Daphnia pulex: one gene and its partner. The protein of the gene in region 1 interacts with the protein of each later gene in a biochemical or structural test. Links are inferred from orthologs where the notes say so. Each region holds a gene or a part of one and is shown on either strand. Other genes may lie near its edges. The genes, in order: peroxisomal biogenesis factor 19-like and ATP-binding cassette sub-family D member 3-like.

Evidence for each region.
Region 2: the proteins of peroxisomal biogenesis factor 19-like (region 1) and ATP-binding cassette sub-family D member 3-like form a complex in vitro, tested with the Homo sapiens proteins (4 studies listed by BioGRID and IntAct, with this or other methods). The link is inferred for Daphnia pulex from reciprocal best matches to the Homo sapiens genes PEX19 and ABCD3.

The regions. Positions count from the first base shown.
Region 1 is NC_060022.1:6,085,183-6,088,615, forward strand, and holds peroxisomal biogenesis factor 19-like, read left to right. Parts: upstream 1-1,360; 5' UTR 1,361-1,517; coding exon 1,518-1,620; intron 1,621-1,685; coding exon 1,686-2,011; intron 2,012-2,082; coding exon 2,083-2,274; intron 2,275-2,341; coding exon 2,342-2,545; intron 2,546-2,605; coding exon 2,606-2,704; 3' UTR 2,705-2,819; downstream 2,820-3,433. Other genes in the region: DNA-binding protein Ets97D-like, read right to left, coding at 2,861-3,225, 3,303-3,433. UniProt on the Homo sapiens protein: Necessary for early peroxisomal biogenesis. Acts both as a cytosolic chaperone and as an import receptor for peroxisomal membrane proteins (PMPs).
Region 2 is NC_060017.1:3,002,621-3,007,218, forward strand, and holds the start of ATP-binding cassette sub-family D member 3-like, read right to left. Parts: upstream 3,104-4,598; 5' UTR 2,918-3,103; coding exon 2,775-2,917; intron 2,713-2,774; coding exon 2,673-2,712; intron 2,618-2,672; coding exon 2,427-2,617; intron 2,366-2,426; coding exon 2,296-2,365; intron 2,233-2,295; coding exon 2,206-2,232; intron 2,093-2,205; coding exon 2,022-2,092; intron 1,959-2,021; coding exon 1,778-1,958; intron 1,722-1,777; coding exon 1,509-1,721; intron 1,444-1,508; coding exon 1,374-1,443; intron 1,309-1,373; coding exon 1,214-1,308; intron 1,142-1,213; coding exon 662-1,141; intron 573-661; coding exon 297-572; intron 195-296; coding exon 33-194; intron 1-32. Other genes in the region: pleckstrin homology domain-containing family F member 2-like, read left to right, coding at 3,454-3,469, 3,647-3,711, 3,781-3,918, 3,986-4,049, 4,112-4,237, 4,292-4,398, 4,463-4,598. UniProt on the Homo sapiens protein: Broad substrate specificity ATP-dependent transporter of the ATP-binding cassette (ABC) family that catalyzes the transport of long-chain fatty acids (LCFA)-CoA, dicarboxylic acids-CoA, long-branched-chain fatty acids-CoA and bile acids from the cytosol to the peroxisome lumen for beta-oxydation.

The DNA of each region.
Region 1 (3,433 bases):
TCCACGTTAAACTTGAAGTGCTCTTCCAGTGCTTTTCTCCTTTTTGTGTATCGTTTCTCCTTACATGCAAATACTGAGCACCCATACAGTTTTCCCCGGTCTTATTAGTACTTAGGAGGTGCTACGAATCATTTGGCTATGATCATTTGTTCTCGTTTAACAGTGGTTAAACTGTGTCTTTTTTAAAGAGTAAAAATGTCCCCCAAACGAACTTCAGCCGAATTCATTACCAATAGAAATTGCAGCCTAAATGTTCGTCCTGTAACTTTATCACATAAAGGTTATTAATCCGTTACAGCTATAAGCTGTTATCTAAAATGATTTAAAACTCTGTTAGAATATGGATCGCGTGTTTAAAACCAAAATTTTTTTATTAACTAGTATCAGGGGTGAAATTGGGTTGGTGCAGGTCATGTTGAATGTTTACATTTTTAATGAATGAAATACAGATGCATTACTTGCATTTTTTTAAGTTCACTCATTTTGATTCATACTTGAATTTCCATTTTATCAGCATTCAACACATTATGTGTCAATTATTTTTTTAAGCAATTGAAGTTTGCCTTAAAAAAAAAAATGACTCCACCATCTCGAAATCATACCAGGTAGGCTAGATGGTGAATTTTCTTGATTTGGTGAACATTCGCGATGTGTCATTCCAGAATCGGTAGTACAGCAATTCGTGAAGAAGAGAAGAGGAAGAATAAAACGAAGCAAGATATTGGAGGATCAGTGAAAACTACTACTCATGTATTGATTTTGGTATCAGCAATGGACAAGCACTATTGCGGCAAGGCAGACCACCGTGTACGTTATAGAATATCACAATTTTTACTGTCATTTTGTCGGAAGACATATTACCTTTACCAACTGAACGTACTTTTTCAAAATTCCTTCTTTCATAGCTTTTAATTTGGGTCTGGCAGGTAAGTGAAATTGATTTGAACTTTGAAGCAAAGGCGGGATGGTAACGACTGCTCGACTGGTAACAACGGGATATAACGACATGTTCGATGTTCTGTTTTCATTTGTTAAAGCAAGACTAAGCTTAAAGCAACCGCCCTAATGGAAATCTTTGATTTTGACTATGTTACGAAATATTACTGTTAGGTTTAGAAAATATTTATGAATGAGCAGTCGCTTCTGTTATTCAGAACAAAAAATACATTTTACTCTCCCAATAAAGACGCAAAATTCAAAACCTAAAAAAAAAGTGATTTGTTTTAATTCATTTTTCACGCCAAATATAATTTTAATAAACAAGCATTCATGAATCATGATGAAGCGCATCTGCTTCATTCACGCACGCACGAACCATCACTAAATACCGAATGATTTCGGCAACATCGCGTTTTATTTATGAGGTAGTATTTCGTCGTCTTGTCTGGTCTTGCACTCTTTTCCTTGTCGAAATTTCCGGATGAGCAAGTTTTGAAGCCTGTGTCGATATTATTGATATCGAAATCTATTTCTACTTATACAATTCTGTACTTTGCTGTAAATAGATACATTTCAGTATGAGTGGAACCGGTTCTAATGATCCAAAGTCTGTACAAGATACGGCAGATATTAAAGAAGAATCTAAAGGAGATGACGAAGAACTAGACGCTTTACTTGACGGTATGTAGTTTAAACTAACTAGTTATTTGCCAACAAAGGAATAAAACATTCATTAAATGTAACAGATGCCCTGGAAGGATTTGACAAGCCACTGCAAGTGCCCAAAACAAAAGACAATGTTAAAGCCGAAGCAGCAGCACCTACAGATCAAGTATCAGATGTTGTGTGGTCTGAGGAGTTTATTCAAGAAGCGAGTTTGGAATTTGAGAAAAATATTCGTTTGATGATGGCAGAAACAGCACCAGGGGCCAGTGGTGATTCTGGATTTGCTGAAAGTTTGTTAAAGGTATCACAAGAAGCTGCAGCTAAAGTATTTGAAAGACAACCAGACCAGGGAGCATCCTTTGCTGATACTCTACGCTATTTAGCAGAAGGAACAGAATCACTTCAGGTAAATTTTTGTGGGTAGGATAAACCAAACTTTTTTATTTTTACTTTAACATGTCCTTATTTTTTCCATAGACTGAAGCTGATGAAGCTACATTAGCCAAAATGCTTGAAAAAATGGCATTTGGACCAGATGGGGGATTTGGAGATGGTGCTGGTGGAGATATGGGAGGTTTGGGTGACATTTTACCTGCAATGCAAGGAATGCTTCAAAGTTTGTTATCAAAGGAGTTGCTTTATCCATCTATCAAAGAGATTGTTAGCAAGGTAAGCATTCACTTGAGAACTGATGATAGTCAATCTTGTCTCTCATAACTTATTGTTATCTCCTTAGTACCCAGATTGGCTCGCAGACAATCGGCCGAAATTAGAACCTGCGCAATTTGAAAAATACAACCGCCAATACGCCGTTATGCAGCAAGTGTGTACCGAATTCGAAAATGATAACGACACTGATGATGCAGCGACGAAAAATAGTCGCTTTGAAAAGATATTAACTTTGATGCAACAAATGCAAGAATGTGGCCATCCCCCTAAAGTGAGTGCGACTACGAATAATTTGATTGATTTTCATTTAATGAAAAATCTTAATTTCAAGGAACTGGCTGGTGAAGCTGAACTGCTACCGAATCCCTTCGGTGGCGCGGATTTTGCTCAATCGATGGGACCTGGTGCCGAAAATTGTGTTGTTATGTAATTAATATAGTATGTTATAAAACATGTTTTTGTTATTGAAATTGGGCTATAAAAGGTATTAGAAGGTCGTTAAAAAAAATTGTTTGAACGGCATTACAACTTAATTTTATCATTAATGGCGTCAATTCTCAATGATTTAAACAAATACGTTTTGTATTTACACGTATGACGAACTTGCCCGTCTCATTTTGGATCGTTGCTCACACTCTGTTACAAGCTTATTAAGTTCATCAGCCGAATAGCCCAACAGTTGTTTGAGGTCACAAACAAATTTATACACAAATCGTTTACCGCTTACTTTGCAAATCATATCGCCATCATAATAATACCTCAGGGCTCGACTGAGTTTCTCATAGTTCATGTGTGGTTTGTTTTTCCTTTCTCCCCATAGTTGAGCCACCATTTCGGGGTTATTTAATTTGAATTCTCCTCCTGTCCCAAGCCAAGAAATAGCATCCCGGAAATTCACATCGGTCAACAGCTCAAGGAGAAACTGCCAGAGTTGTACCTGGCCATTGCTGCCTGTGAAACGGACAAGTTAATTCAAGTTAAAATCACCTTGATCATTAAAGCATACATATACTATATTTTTTAAATACCTGTTCGGTTTCCTGAGTTAGCAATCGAGAACGAACGCGAGGAAAATGTTTCAAGGGGAATCCTTTTTGCTGGAGTAACAACTTTAACAGGCGGTCTTGGCATTCTGGAAGTATCAGATTTAACTGTCAAT
Region 2 (4,598 bases), on another chromosome or scaffold:
AAAAAGAATGAAGTGGTAATAAAATCGGTTACCTCGTGATGTTGCCATAGCGACCGTCGATGGGAGACGGTAAATAGCGTGATTCCCACTTGACGACAGTATTGATACATGGAACCTTCCACGTCGACGCTAACGGCAGACGTGCACTCGTCCAGGATAGCGAACTGAGGCTTATGGTAAAATAGTCGTGCCATCTGATATCGAAACAAAAGAAAAACAACGTCGAAGAAGATGAAAACTTGTTGTCGTCCAGGGAAACAATCAAACTTTTTCAAAGTACAAAATGCAATACTTACGGCAATCCGTTGTTTCTCACCGCCACTGAGCACATCCATCCAGTCGGCAACAGCGTCCCAACGGCCGTCTCGTTCTTGGATGTAAGTCAATTTAACCAGATCGAGATATGTGAGCAAATCGTTGTCATGAATTCCTTTGCGCACCATGTCATCATAGGTGTCTGGATAAATCACTTGATCACGCAATGAACCTAAAGTCATGTACGGTCGCTGAGGAATGTAGAACAACTTGCCCGGTCCCGGTTTAGTCAAGGTACCACCAAACACCGGCCACAGCTTCAATTATTCAAAAGAATCCAAGAGACAAGTGCATCAGTGGTTATTGGTCAACATATGAAATGAAACGTATCATCGATTTTCCTTACCTCTCCCAACACTCTGAACAAGGACGATTTACCACAGCCATTGGGTCCACATACGAGCACGTTCATTCCCGAATGGACTTCAAACGACATGTCTTCAATCAGGACGTCGCCGTTGGGTGTTACCAAGGGCACGTGCTCGAAATGGATAATATTGTCCTTGTTGATGATTCGACCAGCTCCGGGAATCAAGGGCACTCGCGACACAACTTTTCCTTCACCTAAATGTCCACATATTTTCGAAAGAGACAAAATTCGGGTTAATATTTTCTTCCCAACACAAGTAGCATTGCAATTCAAACCGTTCTCATTGGAGACCATAGTACGCTGATATCGGCCGTTATTCAAATCTTGTAAAACAGTAATTAATTCAGTCACACGCAATGTGAATCCAGCCAGTCGTGTTAGTTCTCGGCCTGCCAGAACCAAACGGCCGATAGCTTCAGCCAACTTAACCAACATACGACCACTTTTGTAGTATTGCTATAAACGGATTAAAAATGTTAAATTAAACGGTGATCGGTGTTTCTTTTTTCAGTGAAATTTTATACTTGCCTCCAAACGCTCACTAGATCCAGCGGTGGACAGATGATGTGTCGTACTAAAGAACGGGCGACTAACGACAAAAAATCCTACGGCAGTTGCAATATCTGCCAATTGAATGGATCGATAGAATAAATTCTGTTTGTTGGGTTCAGATTTTAATTTAACCTACATTTAGCGATTATGTTGTCCACAAATCCCATCGTGAAACGGAATTCCAAAAATCGACGGAGATGTCTCACCTATCAATCATGAACGAAATGATACTGGTTTGAAATAAAACAAACAACTTTCAAGGTAAAATTACCAAACGAGTGAATGCCGTCAACATCGTATGCTTTTCACGAACGTTTCCTCGATAGAAGGCCACCTCTTCGGCGTTGGTGATCAACCGCGAATTGACGTAGCGGAATTCACCCTCTAGTTGTTGCTCCGAAACCGTCATACGACTCACTGGACGGCGCAAGTGAGTCAACAAGACTCCGGAAACGAACAAATAAAGAACCATAATGCTAGGACCCTAAATTAAGCAATGATTAGGTAAGGTATGAATTCAAAAATTGAAAATGGTTTTACTTGTCCACCAATTGTAACAGCCAATCTATGAACATAGATGACAATGTCCAAAATAGGTTTGCTAATGTTCGAATAGAGTTCTGTGATGCTCGAGCAGAATCGTTCGACATCGGTTGTAAGTAGTTGATCCGGATTTGAAATTCGGTTGTCGAGGTTGTTCATTTTGTAGTATGTGAAATCTCTGTTGCAAATCATTGCTGTTCAGCGTTTTGTTTATAACTTCATTATAACAAAAAATACGTACTTTAAGTATTGGTCATAGAGATGGCGAGTCAGTCGAGTTCTAAAGCGGAGTTTAAGTTCGTCCAATCCAAGCTAAATGAAAATATCTGACTTTTAATTTCAATTTGCCTTAACACAAAAGCAAATGTGAACTGATATTTTGGAATTGGGACTACAGTGAAACCTAAAATGAAAATTCATTTTACCTTCAAGACATTGTTCACCATAGAAATCTAAACAAAACACAAAATAAATTAAAATTGCTATGTTGGAACTGACAAATTTACACTTCATACCATTGGCATTGCTGCAATGAACTGGATTACATAACTTTTGAAAAGTGGAAAATTGCGCCCAATAATAGCACTGCATTACCAAAAATTGCATTAGATAATTGGAGGTGAATAAAATATTGCAAAATAATAACCTTTCAATTGATGTTGAATTCTGAATCATCCATATATCACAACTGGATCTGGCTACTAATGCTGCAGCCACTAAAATCATGAAGCCAGCTTCAGGTGAAAATACTCCAGGTATGATGATACGCAAGATGGCAGCAATACGTTTGATGAATGTACCATCGATTGCCACCTTCTCAGCTGACCTTTTGTTTTTCTGTGAAAAAATTGTTAAAATTGCTTTGCAAAACATGAATATTTTAAATCCTTACCTCGTTGATGACATATTGAATTCTTTCAGCAGCAGCAGCTCTGGAAACAAAAGAAAAGAGAGTAAAACACTTGCCATACAGGTTTTTTTTTGTAATATTTACCTTCTGTTTTGATTAGTTCTATGAACACTAGCAAGCCACAGCAGAAGTGCGAGGCCTCCCCCGGTAACAGCAATCGGTTTCCCCAAAATACTAGACAAAAAGCCAGGGCTTTTGCTAACTAGTTTACTGAAGACTGGAGCCATAGCTGGGCAAAACAGGTGTAAAAAAAATATTCTTCCTTTATCACTCCTTCACCACGATTATTGTGTCGAGTCACGGTAGGTAGCAGAAAACTTCAAAATCCTGTAATAACCATAAAACACCTGAGGCTTTTTATCGGTACACGAACTCGGAATTTCCCCGACCTCAGACTTGTTAAAAAATAAAAGGCATGCTTAGGGTCCAGCGACGACATCTAGGTAGCAGGTTGTTGAACTGAATTTTGTCGAGGTTTTTGCTTTTAATTATTTTTTGTCAAGTGATGGTGTAATTTTTAAATAAAAGAAATAACGCTGATAATGCTGATATTTGAATCTCCATAAATCAATGTAATTCGTTCACTTCGCTTGTAAGCCGAATGCGAATTGCAAAACGTCACGCTCACGCTCTTGGTTTACCTAGTTCGGTTCCACTAGATGGCGAGGATATATTTTTTCCCCAACAATTACGACATTATTCCGTACTTTCGATACTATTGTGCGTGTGAGTCATATTGGGAGCAGATGACAACAAGCCGAAGATGGTCGACAAATTAGGTAAATTATCGAATATTTTAGAGAAATTTCAAATTGGTTTTCAAAACACGCCACATTCCTAGTTTTCAATGTCAATCAAGAGTAGTTTTCCAGTCTCCTTGATGCTGTTTATAGAGACATTATTGGAACTGGTTCAAGTTACTACGTGAAACTCATATGTTTTTTACGTTGTTACAGTGAACAGTGAAGCAAATGCTCGCCGAATCGCCATGGTCGAAGGCTGCTTCGGCAGTTCTGGTCATGTGAGTAGAAAATGTAACTTTTCTTTTGTTAATGGAACCTGACTAATGGCATTTATATTTGACATGTAGCCTCTTGGGATTCCAGGGCGGGTGTTGGTTGGTGAAGGAGTCTTGACAAAAATGTGCCGGAAAAAGCCTAAAGCTAGGCAGTTTTTTTTATTCAATGATACATTGGTTTATGGAAACATTGTGATTAGCAAAAAAAAGGTAGTAATGAACAAATATTTTTCAAATCATAACATCAATTTTAAGAAATGTTTACTTGTGCTGGTAGTATAACAAGCAACACATTATCCCTTTGGAAGAGATTAAACTTCAGTCTCTGGAAGATGATGGACGTAAGTAGAAAAGTTACCGTTACTAAAATACCAAATTTTTTAATATTATTTTGGTGTTTTAGCTTACAGGAATGGTTGGTTAATTTGTACTGCATCAAAATCTTTTGCTGTTTATGCTGCCACAGCAACTGAAAAAGCTGAATGGATTGCCCACATTAACAAATGTGTTGAAGACCTTTTACGCAAAAGTGAGTCTTATTAAAACACTTTGAAATAAAGTTGACTTCACTGTAATGATTTAGGTGGGAAGAAACCGCTAGGAGAACATGCCGCCGTGTGGGTTCCAGACGCTGAGGCGAATGTTTGTATGCACTGCAACAAGTCACAGTTCAATGTGTTAAACAGAAGGGTAAATATCGGAATTTTGTGTAGTATCAAGTGATATAAATGTTTATTTGTTTTACTTTTTGAAGCATCATTGCCGAAAATGTGGAGCAGTTGTTTGTGGCCCGTGTTCCAATAAGAAGTTTTTATTACCCGTTCAGTCAGCCAAGCCTTTAAGAGTCTGCCTCACCTGTCACGATGTTTTAACTAAAACCAAAAATAATG